Linked DNA regions of Drosophila melanogaster. The protein of the gene in region 1 interacts with the protein of each later gene in a pairwise test. Each region holds a gene or a part of one and is shown on either strand. Other genes may lie near its edges.

Evidence for each region.
Region 2: the proteins of Cpr97Eb (region 1) and tap interact in a two-hybrid assay, tested with the Drosophila melanogaster proteins (one large-scale study listed by BioGRID).
Region 3: the proteins of Cpr97Eb (region 1) and CG13047 interact in a two-hybrid assay, tested with the Drosophila melanogaster proteins (one large-scale study listed by BioGRID).

Annotation. Positions count from the first base shown.
Region 1 is NT_033777.3:27,086,398-27,094,421, reverse strand, and holds Cpr97Eb (cuticular protein 97Eb), read left to right. Parts: upstream 1-3,291; 5' UTR 3,292-3,430; coding exon 3,431-3,442; intron 3,443-3,815; coding exon 3,816-4,511; 3' UTR 4,512-4,718; downstream 4,719-8,024. Other genes in the region: CG14258 (uncharacterized protein), read right to left, coding at 286-596, 653-786, 841-1,087, 1,159-1,243.
Region 2 is NT_037436.4:17,355,644-17,364,725, reverse strand, and holds tap (target of poxn), read right to left. Parts: upstream 5,045-9,082; 5' UTR 4,934-5,044; coding exon 3,737-4,933; 3' UTR 2,915-3,736; downstream 1-2,914. Other genes in the region: CG7692 (uncharacterized protein), read right to left, coding at 7,261-9,062. UniProt on the Drosophila melanogaster protein: May play a role in the specification of the sugar-sensitive adult gustatory neuron and affect the response to sugar and salt. Regulated by POXN.
Region 3 is NT_037436.4:16,281,766-16,289,497, reverse strand, and holds CG13047 (uncharacterized protein), read left to right. Parts: upstream 1-4,101; 5' UTR 4,102-4,142; coding exon 4,143-4,154; intron 4,155-4,232; coding exon 4,233-4,733; 3' UTR 4,734-4,818; downstream 4,819-7,732. Other genes in the region: CG13046 (uncharacterized protein), read left to right, coding at 1,176-1,187, 1,250-1,783; CG13048 (uncharacterized protein), read left to right, coding at 5,841-5,858, 5,918-6,520; CG13049 (uncharacterized protein), read left to right, coding at 7,632-7,649, 7,713-7,732.

The DNA.
Region 1 (8,024 bases):
GATGCCGGGGCCAAGAGCAACTCATGTTGCTGAATATAATATCATTTTAATTCACCTATTTCCTGACTTAATAGCGAGTATACAGTGAGAAAAGTATCTAAAGATGAAAATATAATAGAAGCACTTTGAATGCAAAGATATGAAAATAATTTGTAATATAATTCTAATACAGTGCCACCAAAAAATAAATCAAGCATACACTACTACCCATTTAATACAAAACGACAGAGCACACGAACCCATTAAAATAACATAGAAGTACCGGATTATATGCTAATTTAGCATTTAGTGAAAGTCTTTAATCAAATAGGTAGCTGGTACATAGACAAAGGTCTTCTTGAACCGATCCAAAAGCACTCCGCCAACTGTTTGCTCCACCGCCGGACGCAGTACCTCAAAGAAGTCGCGCCAGTTTTCGTTGAACAAAATGTGTGCAGTATCCTCCAGATCCTTGTTGCCGCCAAAGAGATTTTCCAGCTTGATGCGGAATTGCTTGATCTCGCGGAAATTTACCTTTACACTTTGCACATCAGCGAAATAACCATCTGAGGTGGCCAGCGGTTTGACAGCCAATTCCAACAATAACAGAGCATTTTCTGAATAAAACCGGCTTTAAGATAGTAATTCGCATAAATTGTAGATTGCATCTTACCAGCTTCGAAGTATCCCTTGCCATGACCATTGAGATTCAGCGCTGAGACGTGTCCTTTGACTTTGTAATCGAAATTGAAACGCAACTTGGGCACGGAAATCAAAGTCCTGGCTACATAGTGATTTGGATCCCAGCTGAGAATTTTTAATGGTCAAACTTGATTTCGTCAGAATCTTTAAATAGGTTACCTGGATTCCAAGACTAATGCTTGACCAGCACCTGCTACATAGACTTCCTTCAGATCGGCATTGATAGCTATAGACCTGCTGGCATCCTGGGTAAATTTCACTCTCTTGATGTAAAAAGGATCAAAGGATCCCACGGCATTGTAGCCGGGAATTCCGTCCTTCCACTGACGGAAGAAACTCTGGAAGTTTTTGGTCAGACAGACATTAAAGTTGGGATCGCCCACGATACATGGGATTAGGAAGTCGGCTGAAAGTTGTACATTTAAGAATATTATTAACTTAACTCAACCAAAATATGTTGTATTAAATGTTTATTACGTTTCTCTGCCAGATATTTAGCTCCTTCGACTGCTGAAAGGAGTACGGCTACAATACTCAGGAACTTGGCAACTTTAATAAGCATCTTGATAATTTTATTCCAAAATGTGATGACTAGAACCGTTTTCTTTGAATGCTCTGATTGAAATGACGATTCTGTCTGGCCGCCGGTAATTTTATTCGAAATGGACCGCTCGAATGTATAACTTTTAAAATCATTTCTTTGTTTTGCCGATTTATATATATTTATTTTATTTATTTCGGTACAATTAGTAAGTAAACGAGTTTGGCCGCATTAGACTTGTTGTGGTCGTACAGGGTGCCCAAATCTTTCGATTCATCTGATGCGATACCCTAGCTCGAAAATGCATTAATTTTTATAATATTACTTAGCCTTTGCCTCGCCGGCGACTCCATTTCCAGTTGTAAAGTACTGTCATAATACATATATCTAGATACTTAGACATATATTCTATTCTATATATTCTATCTCACTTTCGCTGGAGCCGAACTGGTTCTACAAGATCATTAAGATGCGACGACTGTAATGCTGACGGATTTATTTAGTTTAGTAGATCTCTCTTAAGAATATATATTCCAATTAATTATAGGCGACAATTCTAGCAAACTATCTTTGCATATATGCATACTCAAGTGAGGAAAAGAAGCCAAGCGAATGTATTTATCTGCATGCAACCATGACCAAGGTCTGCGGTTCTTGGGTTAACGAACTTGTGGTTTTGACATAAGTACCTACACAGAAAACAACTAATTATGAATTATGTATCATGGGAATTTTCTTATTTTAAATACGCATACATTTTTATTCTTTGCCACAGTGAGACCTGAAAATCTGTGGTTCTGCATTATTATTTGATGAATATGCTATATGACTTGTTATTTGGTGTATTTTGCACAGTGTAGAATGTGATTTCAGATAGATGAATGCAAATCCCCCGAAATAAATGGAATAAATTCAGTATTATAATGTAGGTTGACAACTGTGTTTGTTTTGAATGTGGCTTGGGGATTTTGGCAATTTATTTTATATAAATTGGATCCTACTTAACTGGTTGTTTGTGAAATAAAAAGAAAACATCATATAAACTAATTTAAATTCTAGAAATCTCCAGAGATCTAGTCAAACCATCACATTTTTTTCTGCCTATCTATGACGTAATTTCAGCAACCTGTTTCTTTAGCCAAAGCATTGACTAGGTCAGTATGCCAGCATATAAGTTTTTGTATTGCTTTCTTTTCCTAGCTTCAAGTGTGAGTTTTGACAGGCTAAGAGAAATGGCTAAATAAGCTGTCAAATTGCATGTTGTGGATGCAGATTGCCATTGGCCAGTGCACTTAACTGGGAGCAAGGTGTTTGGACAGGTATTTGCAATCGATTAGCAGGTGGGGGGGAATTGACTTGCATAATTGGAATGCTTAGCAAGTGCAACACTTCCGCACCTCGCAGTACTGGCATTTTATTCTTTTCTGGATTGTAGATTTCAGTGATGCCAAAGGTACTTTTTAATTGTGTCTATGAAATAAACTTTAAAGATAACTAACACCTGATAAATCGATGTGAATTGTAAAAGTTTTTAGATGGCACTTGAAAACTATTTTACATCGCACTTTGTACCTCAAACTAGAGTGTGCCAATATGAGTAGGATATGGAGTGTAAGTGTACCAAGTGTACCTAGTTCTCATCACTGTTGCTGCTCTGATCTCATTGCGTATGCGTGAGTGTTGCGGTCTGGAAGCATAAATTGCTGGCCAAGAATTCGAGTAGACGACATTAACAACCTGATTGGAAATTGCTGCGCGTCGGCTTGCTGCTGGTAAGTGAATTACCTGTAGAGGTGAGTGAGTGGGCATATCGATCGGACGTAAGTACAGCTGGCCGACGACCGCTTTCGATTTCTATGCTGCATTCCAAGCCAAGTCGAATCGGTTCTCGGATCGGATCGGGAGCTCGGGCCTCGGTTAACGTATTCGTTTTCGTTTTCTGATCGCAGCTGATCGCCAGATCCAGAGACTTCGGCTTGAAGCTTTAGTTTCTGCCATGGTTTTTTCCCCTCTTGGCCCGCTTTTGCGAAATGTTGACTGCGGTATAAAAAGCGTTGCACGCCCTGATTTTCTTTTGAGTTTGTCGTTTCGATTCGCAGAGTCTCGAGTGCAAGTGCAGAACACATTTTCCATTTTCGCAGTGCATAACTACTTTGGGAGATTGGTGAAAACGGTTCGACATTGACAATTGGTTCTAAGCTTGGCAGCATGTTGAAATTGGTAAGATTCAGCAAGGTGGTTTATAGTGTTACATCTCCAAAGCTCGATATTCATATCGGTATGCAAAAGGTGTTTTCAGAATATGCGCAGTGAATTTTTAGAATGCAATTTAGCCAACCGGTTTGATCAGATCGGTGTCTATGATAAAGAGTAACTTAATTGGTGGTTCATTACTCAGCCATGTCCTTGAGTGAATGTTTGTGAACTGATAATCAGAGCAGCTAATTAAGGTATTTAGCCAAAAGTAAGGCAATAAAGGCAAAGTTCATGTATAATTGCTGACTTTACAGATGGGTGTGACCGAAATGGTGATTTAATGATACAAACGATTTGAGTCACTTTTTCACTCAACTCTTTGTTTTTCAATTTGCAGACCTTGAGCTTGGGTCTTCTGCTTCTGGCGGCCCACAGTGCGTATGCGCAACACCAGGACTACACCACACCGGTGCCCATTCTCAAGCAGATCGACAAGCACAACGACGATGGTTCCTACACATATGGATACGAAGCGGCCGATAAGAGCTTCAAGATCGAAACCAAGTACGCGAATGGAGAGGTCTATGGAAAGTACGGTTATGTGGATGACCAGGGAAAAGTGCGGGAAATAGAGTATGGAGCCAGTAAGCGTGGCTTTGAGCCCGCTGGCAGTCACATCAATGTGCCACCACCTACGCTGACCAACAGCAATCCCTATCCATTGGGACCCAACGAATTGGACGATGGCCAGTATCGTGAGGACCCCTCGGTGTACTACAAGGACCAGAAGTTCAATCGCCCCCTTTCACCGGCCAGTAAATTCAGTCTGAACGATTTCGGCCGCGGCCAGCAGCAGGCGTATGCCCCGCCACCTCGGCAGCCCGCCCCACAAACGCCCTACTACAATCCCACACCCCAATACTACAATCCCCCGGCTCCGCAGCCCCGTTACTACCAGCCTCCGGCCCAGAACTACTATAATCCCCAGCAGCAACAGCCATACAGGGGGTTGCCGGAGCAACATCATCCCTCCCTGCGAAATCTCAACCTCTACACCGGTTCCTATAGCATCGACTATACGGGCCGGAAGTAGGAAGGAGGACCTTTTGATGGGGGGATCACCTCTGAGTTGGGCCAGAGAGTCAGGGACTGAAGTGTCCGAGGACAATGTCAACTTGTTACTGCCAAATAAATCAGTCACTCCGCACACCCCACACATGTATCTATTACTGTACCTGTTTATATATGTTCTTGAATGTGTGTAATAAATCGAGTTTTGAAACCTGAAGCGTTTACAGAGAAAACGAAAGTGTTCTGAAATCATTAAATGTTTTGGTAATTGCTATGAAAATCAAAGGCAATTAGGGTGTTAAAGACAACTAGTAAACATTCAATCAATTTACGCTACCCTTTTCGCTGTCATTTACTGCTAAGTAATTATTCTCAGTGCTCAGAAGTATTTGAAATATCTGCTTTGGCATTCAATTTAGCCAACTACCAGGTTCCGCTTCAATTAAGCCGCCCCACAGCAGAAATTGTAGCAAAATCCAGCCGATTGAAATAAAGGCAAAGAGCCCAGCAAGTGGCCAATAATCGTTAGGCCATTACGTCAACACAGAATGATCGAGCCAAAACAACAAAAAACTACAAAAAAAAGGCAAGCATTGTGGCCGATTCAGATTGAAAACCAAAGTGGATTTGCTGTTGACTGGAATTTGGTGCACTTATGCAATGTGCTGGCCCCAAACCACTTTCAAATGCACTGCCACCAACGGCCGACCAGTTGGCCATAAGCTGTTGGCCATAAGTATGGTCTATGGTCTATGGTCTATGTACTTGGTGCTGGGTGGTGGCTCAACTGCCTTTGTCTTTTGGGTGTGGGGACTGCAGGTACTGGAAGAAGTGGCTTGAAGCTTGTTGGATAATTGGAAGTCACCCACGGATCAATGGCCAAACAATGAGCTTAAATCAGTGTGGTACTTAACTTTTCGTTAGCTTAAATAAGCTATTAATTAGGTAATTTAATTGAATTTGACTCAAATTTTCTGAAGGTTTTTCATTTTATTAAAACGGATGATTAGCAATTTATATATATGGTTACAGCAAACCCACAAAGTAGCTAATAAAGTAGCTGTTAAATAACTAAGAGCTATTCCCCGTTTAACTTTAAAGCCACTATTTATAGTTTGTCATATACATTCGGTTGTGTGAGCTATTCAAGTTCCTTTCCACTGTGCCAGTTGGCCAAGTCAGAAATTCAAAGCGTTTTGCTGGCGGCACCAACGAAGAATCAAGTCCAGACTGCACCTCTTAAAAAGCAGTGCACAAGCACACATTACAGGCTCTGAATTATTTGTATATGTATATATTTTCAGCATTTATATAATTCCGCAGAGCAAAACAGCGAAACTGGTCTGCTGCTGCTGGGGCGTTGGCATGACTCAAGAATTTCCTGCAAAACTGTCTACTTTGCCATGGCTGACTAGCGAACAGCTGCTACACTTACCACATTTTTTTGCAGCACCATTTTCTGAGGTGGCAAAAAGCCGTAGGTATGGAATTGTTATGATTCCCATTCAAAAATGCGTTGGCTGAGATGCCTCCGCGTTGGTCGAGTGTCGCATTGAAAATATGCTACTCCTTTGGCCCTGCATTCAATTGTATTGAATAGTTGGCTATCAATGGGGGAAATGTACAATTGTAAGCTGGAAATAAATGAATGAAATGCCAAGATTCAAGGAAGCATACCTAAAAAGATACCTTTAGCTCTATTGTGAAACCATTTCTAAAATTAAATTATGGTGCTTCAAATTTAAATACCGAATTTTTAAAAACATTCTCTTAAGTTTGTTGTTATATTCCGAAATATTTTTAGCGAACTCTTTCGACCTTGATCGTGGCAGTGCGTCTACGCATGCTCACAAGTTAAGGTGCACGCCCATTTGCCCCCCAGCCCGCTGCCCACGAACAAAAGCCGGACACAAACTAGTCTTTAAAATGATATACTCAGCACAAAAAAAAAAAAAAAAAAAGCAACTGACAAGCGAAATAACAATCGCACGCACTTGAAGACTGGAAACCGCCCTGCGTCATGGGCGGCACTTGAAGGAGGCATAAAGATACAGAAGGGGGGCGAAACTGGGGGGCAGGCAATCGTTGACGGTTTCCTGACAATGTGGCAATGTGGTGCAGTGGCCGACCAGTTTTTCAGCTGAACTATCGCCATTCCGCTGCGGGTTGCATTGCTGCCTGGTTCGTGTGGTTGTTCAGTTAAAACGGAGTGCTACCCGTGGTGTGTCATTAATTCCATCAGAACTACTCCCGCAAGGCCATTCCGAGTGGTTGTGGAAAAGTGGAGGCGAAGGAGTGGGGTGCAGCTAACACTCTGGAAAGTGACACGTTGCCTAGTTCTGGTTGTGATTCAGACATCAAGCATACGCACTGTTGAACCACCGAGAACAACATGGAAATAAATAAGATATTTCTTCGCTGGTTGGTTTGTGAACTATTCGGGTATCTTTTATCTTTTATATTCCTTTGAAGCACTAGATGCACTAGTATTTCTTAAATTCGAACTGTAGAGGATGTCAATTATGACAGTTTGAACATAATTGTATATAATTTATAGGCAAACCAGTTTTAAAGGGCTAGCAAACTATGCTTGCCAACTTTGCTTCATATTTTAGCAATTTATGGGCCTTACAGTTTTGATTAATTATCGTGGATGGCCACATCTCATTGAGGTTAGTTGCCATAGCGCACCGAAGGTCGCAGTTAGAGGTAGGACTACGACCACCCTGATTTCGTAAGCGATTTGTTAAATTTATTAAATTGTTTTGTATTACTTAACGACAACAAGTGGGTGACTTAATTCGTTGAGCTGTGGGGTCAGAAAAACTCTGGAAATTGGCAAATCAAGCAAAATGGAATTCTTTGAAACCGTTGGGCGAAGTTTAAACTTTAAAAAGGAACATTTCTTCTGAGTTACATTCTTTTGGCGTAAAATAATGTAATACATATGAAATGAAGTATATTTTATATATGTATATGGTCATTCTTGGCCATTCCTGTGGCGATGGCTAAGAAAAGCTCTTCAAAGCACAGAGAGAACTCCGGTGAATTCGCTGTCTCAAGCTCGATCAAGCTCTGCAGCCTCTCTTTCTCTTTGTATATCTCTATATCTTTTTCTCCAGAGAAACATTTCCACTGGCGACCGCTCTCCGTCCTTTCGTTGGTGAAGTTTTGTGGTGCTGCGGCCGTTGGTGCGGCTCGGTGGTGCAGTTGTGCTGCGGTGGTGCGGGATGTGTGGTCTTTGGTCCGTTATGGGAGAGGGAAAAAGGTTTTCCGCGATCGGTATATAAAGCGAAATACAACAACCTGGGCGGCTCAGTTGCCGTCGGTCACAAGTTAATACTCCACGCGATCTCCACCGAAGTCGGTCCGAAGATTTGGCCGATTTGCCCCAAGATAGTCGCCCGGTTCATTAGGGGATTTGGAATTGGAATTGAAATTGAAAGTGCTTTGTTGTCTTCGCCACTCGATATTCAGCTGGGTGTTGCCAGCGAAGGCCTTTTGCGATTGCATTCAGGGTTTAATCGATTCGAAA
Region 2 (9,082 bases), on another chromosome or scaffold:
TATAAAGTACCCTGAAATAACCCACAGGACCTTCTGTTTTGTCCTTCATTCAAATAATTTTCCGCAACCTTAATCGAATTTTATGGTCCTATCGTTAGTGGGCAGGAACATGATCTCAATTCGATTTGCCTAATAGAGGAACATGCACTATATAGTTATCTGATTCTTGATTTACATGTGTTAACATTTTCGTTTTGTTTTCCCTTCGCTGCGTACCACTTTCTGGCTCAACAATGTGACATAAATCTGCTTAAATTTGACTAAAACCGCTCTGATCGGATTAAAAATCAGCGCTTGCATAACATTTTACAGTATCAGTCGAGGGAGAGATTGCACACAAATGCGACAGATTGGCTTCCTTCCACGGATACTGAAAAATAGAGAAATGAAAAGGTCCTGTTCGGTACGAGCACTAAGTGTAACAAAATACTCGAGCCGGCTGTTTGTTTATCCAATGTTTTTCGGTTAGATGAGCACACAACTCGAAAGCGACAAAGGTAGGGCACACATGGATATTTTTTTTTTTCGAATCGGAACAGTAACGTATACGACGAGGTCGCACACCCCGGAAGGTTCAGGCTCACAAAAAACAACAACCAGAGGACGTCAAAGATTTCACAGATAAACCAATTCGAGCAGGGCAATGAATGGGCAAAAAGGTCGAGCAACTTGCCGCTAAAAAGCGAACGTGTAGCTATTGCACCAGAGCGAATCTCTGCCATCAATGTTTGATCAGGACCAAAAAGGGGTAATAAACAATGGATCCGGGGCTGCAATAACCACGTGCACCGGCAAAGGGTTAAAAAAATGTGTGCCAACGTCTTGCTAAAAAGGCGTAAAACAATCAATTCGGCAAATAAAATTCGATTTGCGAAATGGGAATCGCAAAAGGGCAAGTACAAATTGGAGCTGTGTCGTCAGGAACGGTGTGATATATGATCTTAATATTTCATGCTTTCCATTCCAAGGGTTGAACTCTGACTCTCATCAAGTCTTTGAGAGTAACCAAAAATAAGGTTTTAGAACACCAAAAGGAACGACAATGCACATAAAAATTTCACATTACCTTAATTCATGTACTCAAATAAAATAAATTTTTAAACAAATGGCTTGATAATTTATCCATCTTTTACAAAAAAAGAAGAGTCCTCAGTTAAACCTACTTTTCTTCATGCTTGAGTTAATCTAAAATACAAGTTGATGGAAAATAATAATAAATCTATACTATAAATTGATAAAATAAACTTCAAAGAAAGCAGCCTTATTTCCGTGTTCGGTTTGATAGGGAAGAGTATGAAATGGCCCCTTGTGTTTTCTCCGTGTGGACTAATCCCTGTATATTTACACAGAAATTTGATTTGGTTAGGTATCTGCAAGTCGAACCCTCCGCCATTAGTCGACCCAGCCGAAGTCCTTTGTGCAATCTCATCGGACCGCATATGAATCGCTCTCCAAGGACCTGCACTTGCCGCAGCCGAAGATGCCAATCCATTGTGTTTGCGCCTTTTAGCATGTCCATGGCAATTTGTTTCCATTTTGGTTGCCTTATCGCCTTATGGCCATCGCCAAATTGTTTTTCCAGCCTCGCAGTGCATTAGCATTCGGGCAAGGGAGTCAGGGCATAGATGTCGTCATTGATCCGCCGATAGCCATCGAAACGCAGCCACCCCGTCCGCTAATGATGCGAGTCCCATCCGGGCCAGGTTTCATCCTCATCCTCAACCCTCGAGGAGAGGCGAGTGGGTCCCAGAAATTGAATGCAGCTTAGCTGGCTCACCCGCTGCGTATTTGCGCCTTTGCAGCACAACAGGACCAAAGAACCCAGGACCCATGCCGGTCTATAATAATGATTATTGCAAAGATAAATCCCGACACCTCCAACAAAGCTGCTCAAATGACAAACGCCGGCTTAGTTGTGGAAAAACTGACGAATTCCCGCTTATAACCCCAATAACTAACCATGAGCGAATCTTTTACCGACAGCAAATATATCTAGTTAACTTAAACATAGTTGAATGCTCAGGATGGCTAGACCTAAAATTATTTCTAAGATATTTGAATGATGAATATAAATTCTAATGGAGTATGCATACGAATAATATGTAATTTTAAATCTTTTTGTTAAAAGTGGTGGTTAGTAGTTGATATTTGAAATTAAATCATACAAGTTGCTGATAAAGATATCCTGCTTTCCCAATATTCAATTTACGTTGCATTAGGCAAACCTACGCCTTTTTTTAAAACTTTAAAACCTTTGAATGTAAGGCTTTGCAGTATGACAGCTCTATTAACGGATAAGACTGTCTTATTGTAATCTTCAGTTGAGATTGCGAATTCCTCACCGGCTTTCCAGCATCTTTACCACCTTTTTACCCTTTTCTCGTAACGGAAAACGTCAGTCAGTCAGTTGTTACCCAGTTAGGCAGTAAAGCAGTAAAGCATTTCCCTCGACTCTTGCCGGTTCGGTTCATTCAACTAAATAATTTGAGTGGCATTCATGCAGGTCCACTGGCTCACAGCTCATGTTTCAGGATTCCCTGTTTGGTCCTGACTGCTGCTGTTGGTACATTCGTTTTGTAATTGTGTGGCAGGTGACGGCAATCTTCCATTGTTCGAGCTATGAAGGCCGAGCCGGGAGTTCGAGTTCGGTTTCTACTTGAACTCACCCCATGTCGAATTGTAAGGGCGAAAAGTGCCCCCTACGATAAGAACAAGCTGCAGTGCACACACACAAAGCCATTCGTTTTATGTGCCCTGCAATATACAATATTTATTTGAATTTAAGTCCTTTGTTTGGGACCTGAAATCCGCACACAGCGGTACACTGATTCCAGGGTTGTTTGCTTTGGCTACTATTTTTGACTTTGTCCAGGAGTTCGTCCATTCTTCCCACTCGCAAAACCATTTTCTGGCTCGTTTTGATCGTCAACTTTATTTGCAAAAATAAATCTTTATGGTTTTACATCGAAATTCAATCTTATCACCTTAAAGTTCTGGCCCTGACTAGCTCGCTTTCCTTGCATTGCAATAACTGATATAGAATCTGGCATAACCTACATACACTTAATCGATTGTACAGTTAATTATGGCTAATACCTGGTTCATTTTAAGAATCCTTATAGATAGGTCTTAAATCTAGAATGGCAAGGTACGTATCGCTTACACTAAATGGACAACCGATTTGTACTATATAGTCAAGAAGAATGCGAATATGTTGAGAAGAAGAGTGCTTTTTGGAAAATTGATTACCCTAAGCACTTTTAATTCAAATATTCACCAGAGATCCGCAAGAAGGAAGCCAATGAATACAAATATAATGGGAATTCATATGAATTAATAATGAGTTCGTGAAGCTTAACTTTGGATGTTTGACTTTAAATTGGTTAATCTATTGAGGATCCCTCTATAACATGAAACTAATTGAGTTCAAAGATTAGCGCAAGTGTGAAATATACAATTTTTAAAGATATTTCATTTTCAAACTTGATGATAATCTTAGCAGTCAATTAGGTGCCTCGCTTATTACCAATATCAACGGATTGCAGGAAAGTTGAGAAAAGTAAGGAAGGGAAATCCCGAGATAGGACCCATAAGTTACTTTAGTTATGTTTTTAAAGTAAGTCAAGGGCAAATCGCTTAGAGGAATTCCCCTTGATCAGTTTCCTGCAATTTCCGGCAATCTTTTAGTATATCACGCTGAAAACCCTAAGATCGTAGTTTGGCCCACAAAACTGTGCTACACCTGCGGGGCGAAGTTTTTGTAGCTGTGTTGATGTGGAACGGGATGCACGTGTGCCTGATCCTCCGGATAGTCCTTCCATGGCGGTGTTTGCGAGTAGAAGCTGCTCTGCTGGTGAATCCCAGAATCCAAGTTCGTAGAATGAAGATTGGCAGCTGCATCGAAGGATCCCCTGAACAGATCGTATTTCTCCTGCGAGAACTGCTGCGGGCTGGACTCCTGCTGGGGATTAGGCTGCAGATGGTGAGGCTGATGCGGCTGCTGTTGCTGTTGGTGGTAAAACCGCATGCTGCCTGTAAAGTCGAATCCTGGTGGCTGCTGCGGATAGTCCATGCCGTGCTGAAAGCCACCCATCGCCGGCGGCTGCTCCGCGTGCGATGCTGGAGCAGTCTGGTGCTGTGCAAGAGGCGCCATTCCCTGTCCATAGGGGAACATTCGTCCGAACAAGGGATACGGCTGTGGATTCACGAAAAGAGCATCGAAGAGCTCCTTGGTAATCCTCTCACCACTCAGCGTGAAGTTCTGCAGCTTCTCCAGATCCAGGTTGATTGAACCTCCGCTTTCCAGCACCTGCTCCAGGGCAAAGATGTAGTTGTGCGCAAATCGCAGAATCTCGATCTTCGTCAGCTTCGTCTCCTCGGGAAGCGAGGGCAGAGTGACGCGTAGTTTCTCCAGGGCATCATTCAAGTTATGCATCCGATTCCGCTCCCGGTCATTGGCCTTCATGCGGCGGAAACGCTTGATCTTCACCACTTGGGTTGGACTGCGCGAGCGAGTTACTCTGTTCTTGCCGACGGCATATTTGCGTTTCGGTCGCGGCGCATTGGGATCCTCTGGCGACTTCACCGGCGTACTGGTCAATGGCGGATCGAAGACGCCATTCGTGGCCCGACTGTTCAGATGTTCGACCAGTGTCCTGCCGCTCCGAGTGCTGTGATTGCTGCTCGTATCGAGCAATCCCACGAAGCCCGCCGGCGGTGAGCTGAGCGGTACGGCGTCCCAGGTGCCGCCGGAGTACGGTTGCGGGATCGCCGGAGTCGGCGGAGTGCCAAAGTCCAAGCGGCGTCGTGAGCTCAACTGGGCCTCCGTCTCGAAACTCTTCTCGTAGCCACTGTCGAAGGAGGCGTCGTCGTCGTCCTCGTCGAACTCGAAGGACTGTGATCCAGCGCTATAGGCATTGTAGCAGGCGGCCATGATCTCGTATCTGTATCACGGTGTGTATATCCTTTAGCACATTTCCGATTTACGATTTCCGCTTTGAGAGAGTTGTTTCTTCGCGTCTCGCGTGCCCGCACCAACTAAAAGCTGGCGAGGAGTGCGCACCGGTTTTATGTGCCCGGCCAGCCATTAAGCCCGCTGATTTGGGTCCGGACTAACAGGCATCAACCCTCGGCGCATTGTCGTCGGTCGTGGCGGCGCCATAGCGCAAAGTAGAGAGCACAGAACCCCGACACAAATCCCAACAGATATGCGCCGTGATTGCCGCCCGGGGGTGGCTTTTGCCAACTCACACACCAACGTCGTCTAGCTAGAACTGCCTGCAGCGGGGTGAACTTCCTGGAGATGGAGATTCGTTCTGCGGGCCGCCGCTACCAGTCAAAATACGAGCATTTTTCACGCTTCGCTGCGAGCGGTGCTCTCTAGGCCAATCGGAAGGATGTCTGCGTCCGAGGATCAGCGGTGTCGCCAACGGCATCATCAAAGCTCGTCTCTATAGTCATACCCTTCCTCTAGGGTTATTTAAATACAATGTGCTTACTGCACAGCTTAAACTTAATTATATTTATATTAATGAATGAGTAGTATTGTTGGTCAATTTAAGATATGCTTTATATTATAGTTAAATTAAAAGAAGAAATATTATATTATTATATATTTTGTAAAAATCACTTAGTTTAAGGATAAATCCAAAAATTATTTGAAATAGGGAATACTTTTGTTTAATATGATATCTTCGGATCATTACGACTTTGTTATATTTTCGGTGTAGGTATAATTTTCGGACGAGATTTAATCCATTTCCGTACTAAAAGATTTCTTACCCTTTCCTACATATATAGAGTATGTGTGCTTCGTGGACTAAATAAATTGTTATTTTGTTTTATCGCCACATCGAAATAATGCGATTGCAATTCAAAAGATTCAATTACCATCAACTCTTTCGCCTTTCGCAACTAAACCGCAATAATCGTTTAGGGCTTACGCCTGTCGCTAAACGGGTTAGTGGCACGTGGCCAGGATGCCGCCTCCACTTACCAAAAGCAACATGTGTATTCAACGGAAAGCTCTCACTCCCACAGGACTCCATCCTCCTGGTAGAAAACCCAGGCGTTGCCACGTGCCGCGGTCTTAACGGCTGCTCAAGTGGCAAAGTGTGCCGATGTGGGATTCCTATCTGTGGCAATCCTGTTAAAGGAGGATCGGAGTTGCAATTTCAAGTGGGCGACGGGTGCCACGTGCGGATTTGTTATGATATGCGGCAATTGCCGCAAATTACCAGCACGAGTGAGAACTTGAGTGTCGAGGGGGCTAATTTAGTAATATGCCACATTTCAGGCAGTTCCTCCTAATGGAAATGAATTGAGTGCTTTTGTTGAAAAAATATAAACCTTGCTTCAGTAATTGTGACACCATCAATTTTTTCTTTAATAGTGCTTTATAAGGTAGCTAAGTATGTTATGAAAAATGTACTAAGTAGAGCTGATGTTTGATTAATTTCCTTATAGATTTCAAAACCAAGATAGTTTTATATAAATAAACAAATACTTAATGGTATACTTATTTATTTATTTTTTAATCAGTTTTCTTGTATGATCAGTACAATGAGTGTTTTCGTAACTTATAAAATATATTTATATATATATAAATATATTTATATATATAAATATATATAAATATATTTATATTGAAGTTTTAAACAGAATATTAATGGTAGTTTGTATCAATATCTTTATAAGAGCTAAGTACTACTAACAATGTTTCTTACATGAGAAGAAAATCTATCCCATATATGCCACTTAAATTCACACCAGCAGCCACGTGTCGCCGTCGTCGTCATCCATGTTACAAAGCTTCTCCGCCGCGTGTAGCTAATTTGGTTTTTTAGAGCCACAATGCACATCAATTAGGCAGTTAATTGAAGTGCGGATGCGTTTGCTTTTTCCATTGAGTGTTGTCCTGGACTCGATGAGAGTCCTTTTTTAAAGGCCCTCGGGCGGCGTTACAGTCCAAATAAAAACCGAAATACAATGCCGGAGCCGGAAACTTGGTCAAACAGATGTACACGTAAATAATTTCATCAAAATCCTGGCGTTTTGGTAGCCAAAGCAAATACCAAGTGTGCCCCAGGCTAATTGCATTCTAACAACCGAGACGAATTCGATTTTCCCAGCTATACACTTCATCTTCCTTGCTCCCTTCCTCTGCTGCGCAACCAACGAACATCCCTTCGCCAGCATTCGTTTCGGGCACGTAGAACATCGCCTCTGGCTCGGTAGCAGGCTCGACTTGTCAACAGCGTGTTAGAATGGAATGATGGCCTCCTCGTAAAGCGGATCCATATCCATTGCATGTGTAAAGTTATTCATGGGGGGGTTTGCGGCTGGAATTGGTGAGTTGGACGAAAGAGAGTCCGAGGACAACTCGATCACATCCGGCTGAAAGGAAGGCGATCGTCGCACATTTGGTTCTGTTATACACTTGGGCCCACTGCGTCCACGGTCACGTCCACGTCTTCTAATCGCAGAAACAGACCGAGTCACTTCCTCGAGATCTGTCGAGGAATCGGATGTAATGTGCTTGAAGACCGGCTTGGCTATCATGCGCGGCGATGGCGTGGACGATTCCGAAGGTGCTGGCGAGTCCGATGTGATGTGCACAAACTTCTTGAAGCGGCGCCTATCATATTGGCGGTAGTTGTAGCTGTTTGAAGATCCATTGCTGTCCTCGGTGTGGGAGCGGCTCTGACCGTTAAGACTCGCTGTGAGCCTTCTTTGGCTGCGACGTGTCTGGTCGTTATAGAAATTTGCCATATTAGTTCGCTTAACACGAACTCTTACTCCCCTGAGTTTTTCTATGTCTCGTGGTGTCAATCTGGTTAAGCACACCTGGGAAGAACGCGTCAGGCATTCGTTGATTTGACGATTTGTCTCCATTTCCTTAATATCGTTTGCAGATCTGGAATTGGATTCGTTGTTCACTGAGTCAAATTGTAAGCACTTGTTCTTAGGGTTCTCATCACTGCCATCCCACAGAAGGGTCTCCTCCGCGGTGTCGGTTTCTGTCCCGGTTTCTGATGGCGTTGACATTTCATTAGGCAGCTGAGCATTCCCTAAGCGCTGCATGTGGATAAGCTTATCTTTTTGTTTTCTTGTATTCGGTAGATCCCGTTGCGGTTGTCCAGTTTGTTTTGGCTTTTCGGCCGCCTGTCTCGCTTCCAGTCCCTCTACTTTGAACAGTCCATTTGGGATGACCTGTTTTAGGTCACTAGTTTTTAAGGCATCTCCCAGTGGCTCCTGGGTCTGTTGTCCAGTTCTCACGGGCTCCTTGGTCAAAAACAGAAACTCCGGAGTCTTCTGTGGCACTTTTGTAGTTTCTAGGCTCCCATGGATCAAATGCGTCTTGGTCTCACCAGTGGGCTGCAACACTTCTGGGTCCATGGTTAAATCAGACTTTGTGGTCGGCGAAGGTGTTAGCTCTTTACTTACACCGGTAGAACCTTCGCTGACCTCCTCCTCGTTGAAGTCGTGGGTAGCCATCGTGGAAGTTTCTGAGTTTACGCTTTCAGTTTCCGATCCCGTGCGAACGATATTTTGAACAAGCTGGGAACATGGCTGCACGGCGGCTTTTGCAGCTTTGGCCATTTTGAGGGCCTTCAAGATTTTGAATTTGTTTAATATCGAGCTGCACTCTATCATGCTGCTGCTGTCTTCTACCACATTCTGCAGCTCTTCCTTCTTGAAACTCCATATGTCGGCGATCGGCTTAAAACCGACGGTTTCGTTGGTAAATTTGGGTCGTGACTCCATCAGTTCGCTAATCGTACGCTTTTCGACACGCGCAGATGTTTCTTGTAGACACAGTTGTTTTGGAGGCTGGACTGCGATTTTTGGCTGCTCCTCGACGACGGGCTGCGTATGAAATTGGTGATGTGATGTCTCTGGAGAGCTCGATCGTCGCCCACCGCGCACACTTCGATCCATGTCAGACAACATGGCATTGGCTACCATGGCTGCCGCCCTAACCCGAGTCCGGCGGCCATTTCCTGTGTAGTAGGGCTCCGAATCGCTTGAGGCAGCCTCCTCCTCGTCTTCCGAAAATACTACTGTGGGATTTTAAATTGAA
Region 3 (7,732 bases), on another chromosome or scaffold:
ACCCACTACTCATCTAGTGGGCGAACGAAATAGAAATTTTAACATTTTCTGTTGGCAAATCAATGTTAGTAAAATGAAAAAAAAAAAATGAATAAGTAAGTTTCTGGGTGTAATATTAAATTAATATATCTGAATTTTAAATAAAAACAGGAAAAGTTCCTCCCTTTTCTTTCAGTGTAAACCTCATTCGGATCCGCATTTATTGTGAGTGTATTTTACTATCTAAAGGTCTACGAGTAACGGGTATAATAATAATAAATTTGTATTTAACATTAATTCCGATAGTGAAAAGTGGCTCCCCATTTCTTTCAGTGTAAATTAAATTCGGATGCGCATAGATTGTGATTCCGTTCCACCATCTGAGGTCAATCTGCGATGAGAGACAAGAGACACGCAGCGAAAGAGCGGCAATCAAACGCCGAGATACGGACAACAATCTGGTGCTTAGCATGCAAATCTCGCACCGATCCGCCAAAGTCCTCCGTTTTGGCCTGGGCTAATGGCTATGGTTTTTATGTGTGTGCGACTTAACTAGCTCCTGTCACATGACGCTCGATTCGATTTGTGTTTAATAAGCTCAAATGCTGTCGACATGCCTGAGGTATGCAGAAAAGCTGAGAACAGTGGTGGTGGAGTGGGGGTATTTACAAAACCAAATCGTCTAGTTCCCCCCTCTGGTTGTGACCATAGGGCTCCACTGCTAATTGTGTGTAGTTGCATAGCTTGGATGCCAATAAAAATGACCAACATTGATTTATATGCAAGGCAGCCAAATATCAATATTATCAATAGATGAAACTGTCCGGCAACCGCTTTGTTAAGCCACCAGAAATAAACAAAGTAAATAAACAAAGGCAGCTACAAATGCCAAAAAAGCTTCGTCTTGGCCTGCACTCAAAGTGTTGGCCCAAAGCCGTTCACCAAGAGCCAAAAGAAGACCTGAACAGAGTGGGACAGAGAGAGAGAGAATGAGAGAGAGAGAGAGAGAGAGGGGTCTGAGAACCGATCGCAGCTCCTCCATACGCATATAAAAAGCATCTTCAGCTGGCTCACAAATTTTAATCAGCTGCCAAAGCTGCGCCAGCGCACATCAACGATTATAAGATTCGGCAAAAATATTGGCCTTTAAACTGCATTTACCCCAAGAACTGGAACCCAAAGAAAAGTGAAGTGAAATGGCGCCCAATGTGAGAGCAATATCTAGTGTGTGAAGAGCTATCAAGGTTTAACCCTATCAAATCACTTTCAGTTGACTTGTGTATGGATTACTCTGCTGCAACTCATGAGCTTGGCTCTGGCCGATGTCTCACACCTGGATTACTCGATAGCACCCAGCACCCAGCTGGGTTACTATCACTATCCCGCTCCCAACAGGCCAGCCGTGCAGCGGAGCCAGAGGAACCAGTACCAACAGAACCAGCAGTATCCCCAAGTGGCACGACAGTTTGCCGAGCCCGCCTTGGAGCATGCCGCCTTCACCCAGGCTCTGACCAGCCAGGGTTACGTATTTGGAGCACCGTCGTCTGCCCTCCAGGTGGCTCCCCCGGCACCACAGCCCCAGCAGGTGGCCAGAGTATCATCTGCTGCGGGATCGGCCACAGGTCGTTCCATATCCTCCGCTTCCGTGGATGCCAACTCGCTGAATCTCAAGCTGCCAGTGCCCTTTGGCATTGCTCCACTGAATGTGGCGCAACTTCCGCTGCAGGCTGGGGCACCATATGCCAGTGTGCCCAGAACCACGGGGCTAACCTCCTATGGAACACCGCAGATCCAGAGGCGCTAGTCCAGCAATCCTAGCCCATAGAATAGCAATAGCAATACATTTAATAGAGCCAGAGCCATCCCGACTGATCATCAAACTGCGATGACTTCTGCTCTTAGTGAATACACATTGATAATAAACTTGCCATCTAAGCTTAGCCTTTCGGTTGAGTCTCTTTTTATTGGCCATTTTTAGTCTCATTGCCATCGATGGAGACTGCATTTGCATAATGTTTTGAAGGTTAATACGCGGGCACACACAAAAAAAAAAGAGGTCTTCGTCCATTGGATTTACACCTTTCACTCTCCTACGATGGGTTAATGGTTGCTATTTACATACACACAAATCGGGCCAAGAGATCTCCATCTCCATCCGCGCCTCATAATGAGACCTCAAACTTGGCATTGGCATTCGGAATTCTCTTGTGAAAACAAAAGAAATCGAGACAACGACTAACTTTTGACGTATATTTATGAAAGCCAATTAAAGTCAAGTGTCATTGATCAGATCTGGGAACGGAACTGGGAACTGGGATCTGGATCTATCTATATATCTAGACATATTTATGCCTGCCGTATAGAACCTGCTTCCCGCGAAAACAAAAACGGGAATTAGAAATATGGTCTGCATAAATTTGGGGCTTAAAAATCAATTAAAGCAAACGGTACTGACGACAGCCAAACAATTCCTAAGAGGGATAAAGCTTCTGATGAGCCTCTAAATCAGATTGCAAATAAATTTAAAAGGTTAACTAGGAAGTGAGCGGATCGCACAGCTGTGAAGTGGAGTGCTGAAGACAAGAAGTTGATGGCGATGGTCTATGAAGATGAAGATGAAGATGGTTAAAGATGTACTCATTTCCGTGCTTGAGTCACCGGAAAATTGGCGCGTCATCGGTTGAGAATTCCTGTCCAGAAATTGTGAACAAGTGAACGAGAAGAGGTCACCCTTGGAGTTGGAATGTACTAGCTGTGGTTGCTGCCAAGATTGGATCAATCCGATCAAAAGTGGCCACAATGCGGATACAGAATACAGAATATATGGAAAAGTATACAGTTACATGCGTGGGGCAACTTGATCACCAGATATCATTTATATACATATATATATATCGCCCTCTCGACTCGTCATCGCGACAACCTTGAGACCGGCGTCATCATCGTATCGGATTTCAGAAGCAGCTATAAAATAACGACCATTTAGATACTCTATACGATTTGTTAGTAAGCGGTATGAGTATAATATTTTGTGACTGTACTACAGAAAAACTTCGATTTTTCATAAACTCGCTCTTTGAAATCATGCTCCTAATGGGTTGTTCTACCAAGTCATTGACACTAAAATATGCTAATTTACAAACATTCATAAGTAGCAAAAGTACCCGATCATAAAGAGTAAAACAATGCAAATCGCAGACACCAAGCCATCAGATGACGACGATGCTGCTGACCAGGCCAGCACGTGACCGAGAGAGACCGAGAGAGATGGCTCATTAAGTCAGCTAGCAAGCAGGTTTCGACTGCTCGATCATTCGGCCCCGCGCCTTGTTGGCCAATTAAGCTGAAGCGAATTGATGAGACCCACTGGATGAGGATGAGGGTGCATCACATCCTGTGGCCAGGTGGCGTCAAGGTCAGGTCAACACGAAAACAAATGAAGACCCGTCGGCTAGGATGAGAGGGAAATTTACGACCGCCTTTTATTGGCGTCTCTGCAAGCCATTAAAAAGTGAACTAATGAGACACTTAGTGGGCCGGAATCGTGGCCTTTGAGGAAGGGGTACCATTTTTATGGCCAATTTGACTTAGATTGCGGCCAATTCAATGCGAAGCGGCGCACATTGATGGCCCAAACAGACTGCAAATTACGACAAGACAGCCCGGCCACCGAGTCAGTCTTCAATTGCATACAAATGTCGATCACTGCACTTGGAAAAATTTTTATAAAGACTATAACTTGGTATGCTATACAAAAAGTTTACCTCTGCATGTAAATACACTGCACTAAATAGTTAAGGTTAAAAATTTTAAATAAAATATTTATACATTGAAATCAGAATTATATCATATCTTTTCTTATAATATTTACCAAAGCTCAAATATTTTTCCAAGTGCAACCGAAATATTCAAGCGACAACTTGGACAACTTCCGACAGTCCATTGGGCAATTGAAGGCGGAGCACGTCTTGGCCAAATGGCGATCATGTATGCTACTTGGCACTCGACCAGGTGGGCCAGCTAATGAAGAAGCGACCAAAAATCGGCTCAGACAGAATGTCCCCCAAAGAGCACGGATATGGGCACGAGCTATATAAGCCACTGGTCTGGCTCCAAATGAACATTATCGCTCAAGTGCTTTAGACAAACCCAACCACAGCAATATGTACAAGTTTGTAAGTGATCCTATGGGGATTAGCGCCCAAACAATGTGGACTAAGAGGTGGTTAATGATTACCTATCCTATTTTCCAGTTGGTTCTCGCTGCCCTCATCGCCTGCTCTGCGGCCAAACCAGGAGTTGTAGCTCCACTGGCTGCTCCTCTGGCTGCTCCCCTGGCCTACGCTAATGCTCCTCTGTACGCCGCAGGTGGCAGCAGCCAGGTGGATGTCCGCAACAACTACGACGGCACCCTGTCCTCCTACACCACCGCTCCGTTCGAGTTCGCCGGCCCCTACTCCAGCCGCTATGTGTCCGGAATCCCAGCTGCCCCCGCCGTGGTGGCCAAGTACGCTGCTGCTCCTCTGGCCGCCGCCTACTCTGCTCCTCTGGCTGCTCCCGTCGCTGCTCCTCTGGCCGCTGCTCCCGTTGCTGCTCCTCTGGCCGCTGCTCCCTATGCCGCCGCTGCCTACTCCGCCTATCCCTATGCCTCGCCCTACGCTGCACCCTACCTGGCATCTCCCTACGCCGCTCCCTACGCTGCATCCTATGCTGCTCCCATCGCCGCTGCTGCTCCAGCTCCAGTGGTGGTCTAAGGACACACCTGTGAAGCAGGCCAAACTATAGGAAATTTTTGATAAACAAAAAAAAAAACTGATAATAAATTACGAACCAACAATTAGAGCGCACCATCTTATTATTTGCAGAAATGCCTTGAATAATTAACGAAAAACGAAAGTACTATTATTTATCGGATATTTTTGGTTCATGAAAATTCAATTGGACGCTCATTTCGATTGGGTCAATATATATATATTTCTTAAGAAAATATAAAATAACTTCTTTACTTAACTATGATCAATTTTTGATTAGATGATTCCTTTTGTGCAAGTGGTTTTATTAAGCATCCATATATTTCCAGATTTCAGATAGAGGAAGTTATTTAATTTTTTTTTAGAAACTTTAGAACTTTCCATTTAATGCTCTGAATTTCTCGTTTCTCACTCATTTCTTTGATATGCAAAATAAGCTTGTTTATTGGTGGATATCATTTAATACAAATTATGCATAAATTATAGGTCTGCATTTAATTTTTAATGGAATTTTTTCTAACAGCTGCATTGAATTTTAAAGATAATATTGACAAAGTAGCAACATACATAAGTTAGGGACTTAGGGAAGTTAAAGTCAGACAACTTGGTCACCATGTAAACAATATTTGTTGTGATTGCGTTGTCACCTAAGGCGCAATATCGATTGTTATTTATGGTCAAAGCAATATTTATGGATTATCATAATCATATTCCACTCATGGGCAACTGTCAATGCCTGGGCTTGGTTGGCCCCATGTTATATAATCATGGGCCGTGCTTTCGAATCGCCCAAGAAGTTATTGGCCCCTCGATCGAAGGCAGTGCCATTCGCAGTCGCCGTCTCAGTCACGACTTGCTGACCAACTAAATGGGATTGGGTTGCCTCCCTCCAAATGATGCAACCCATTAAGTTAGGTGAGTGGGCCAAGTCGTCGTCGAAAGTGAAGAAATGCAAGTGCAAGTCTTTTGATTGCGTACCGCCTTCAATTCGCTATAAATATTAATTTAATTTGACAATGCAAAGACATTAGCAGCCGAACCAACAGGTCGAGCACATCGATCGAGAAGCTACTGCCCCAAAGAAACCGAACTTCAAATCCCCCAAGCAAGATGTGGCAACTGACATGGGTAAGGACTGCAAAGTTCTTTTGACCAAAGATATTAATAGGTAACCTAAATATTTTTAGGCCTTTGCATTGGCTTTCCTGCTGGTGGGTGGTGAGGCAAAGCCCTCTCATCTTCACTACAATCACTTCGATCCCCACCATGTCAACCACTTTGACGGACATCATCTGAGCCACTTGGATTCTCTGCATGCTCTGCCGCACCACTTGGATTACGCGGTGCAGGAATCGGTCCTTCCTCCGCCAGCTCCTTTGCTTCCTGCGGTGGCTCCACCACCAGCATTTGCTCCACCACAACCTGTATTTGCTCCAGCGCCTCTCTTACCTGCTCTTGCACCATTTTTACCGGCTCCTGCTCCTCTTCTGCCCGCTCCTGCACCACTTCTACCAGCACCTGCACCACTTCTACCAGCTCCAGCTTTTCTGCCAGCTCCTACTCCTCTTTTGCCCGAGTTCCATGTGCCCAGTGTCACCCATCAAGTGCTGCCGCCCGTCCTGGAGGCGGTGCCCTTTGCACCCACCTACCGTGCCATTCCCGGACCGAAGACCACCACCCACCGCGTGTCCATTGGCTACGCCTTTCCCAAGCTGCTGGCCACGCCCCACGCCCATCTGAAAGCCCTGCCCCTGAAGTTCGCTCATCACCATCACCACTCGCTGTGGTGATCATCCCGACCTTACGGATGATGAAAACCTCACCAAAGAGTAATTAGTGTCAGATAGGATATGTAAAGCTTAAATCTACAAGTCTACCTGCATTATACAATAATTTATCGAATAAATATAGTGAAATAAAAAACGAAACAAATAAAATTCATGCATTATACAATAATATATCGAATAAATATAGTCAAATAAAATGAATTATAAATCAAATTACATTTATACTCAATTTAAGGCTCTGTTAACCTTAGAATTCAATCATTGCGTTCTTAAGCAAAATATATGAAAATATATTCAGTATTCCCGCACATTCTTACCAATTATTTCCAAAAATAGAAATCCCAGAGAATGTAACTGCGGTTGATAAAATCATAGGCACACCAAAAAATTAGCAAAAGGAAACATATTCGCTATCTGATTCAGACTCTCATTACGAACCAGACGCCTCGTAATGTCGCCAAATGGGGTTTCATTTATTCGGCCAACACACACACACACAAACTATTGGCAACACACACACACACACACTCACAAGTGGGGCACAGAAATGTTGTTAGTGGATTTCGAACTGCACGCAACATGAAATCAAATCAGAAATTCCAGACACAAACCCGGCCCAAACACGCGACAATTGTTGCAACAATAAACAAAAAGCGGGTGGACGAAAAAAAGTGGTAATTCAATTAAATGATTGAGCCAAGTAACACGTACTCTGGGTAAATAATTGCAGCTCATTACAAAAGCACCACCCACCGAAAATATTCGAAAAGCCCCAACTGTCATAAACCCGACCGAAACCCAAACGAAATCTTGCCCAATATTAACCTAGGTTATGGTCGGGAATTGCGTGCAATTATGAAAGTTTTCGGGGGCGATCGACGTAAGAGGCTACCGATTGATTATTAAGTACATATGTACATATATCGCACCGATCCAGCAACGCCCTTCATCAGCTCCCAATATAGAAAGTCTTCCAAGGTGTTTTCGTATGCGCGTCCATGGATATTCCGTGGGCTACAGAATTATAAAAGCGTTACCCAGTGGACAATTGGATATCACAGTTCAGTCTGCCTTCAAGCTAATCACACCTAGCAAATCATACCCAATCCCCAAAATGTTCGCCAAGATTGTGGTGAGTTGCAAAGGATGTCCGGATCTATCGAAGTGGATTATAGATATATACCTTCATTTACAGCTCGTTGCCCTCTGCGTGGC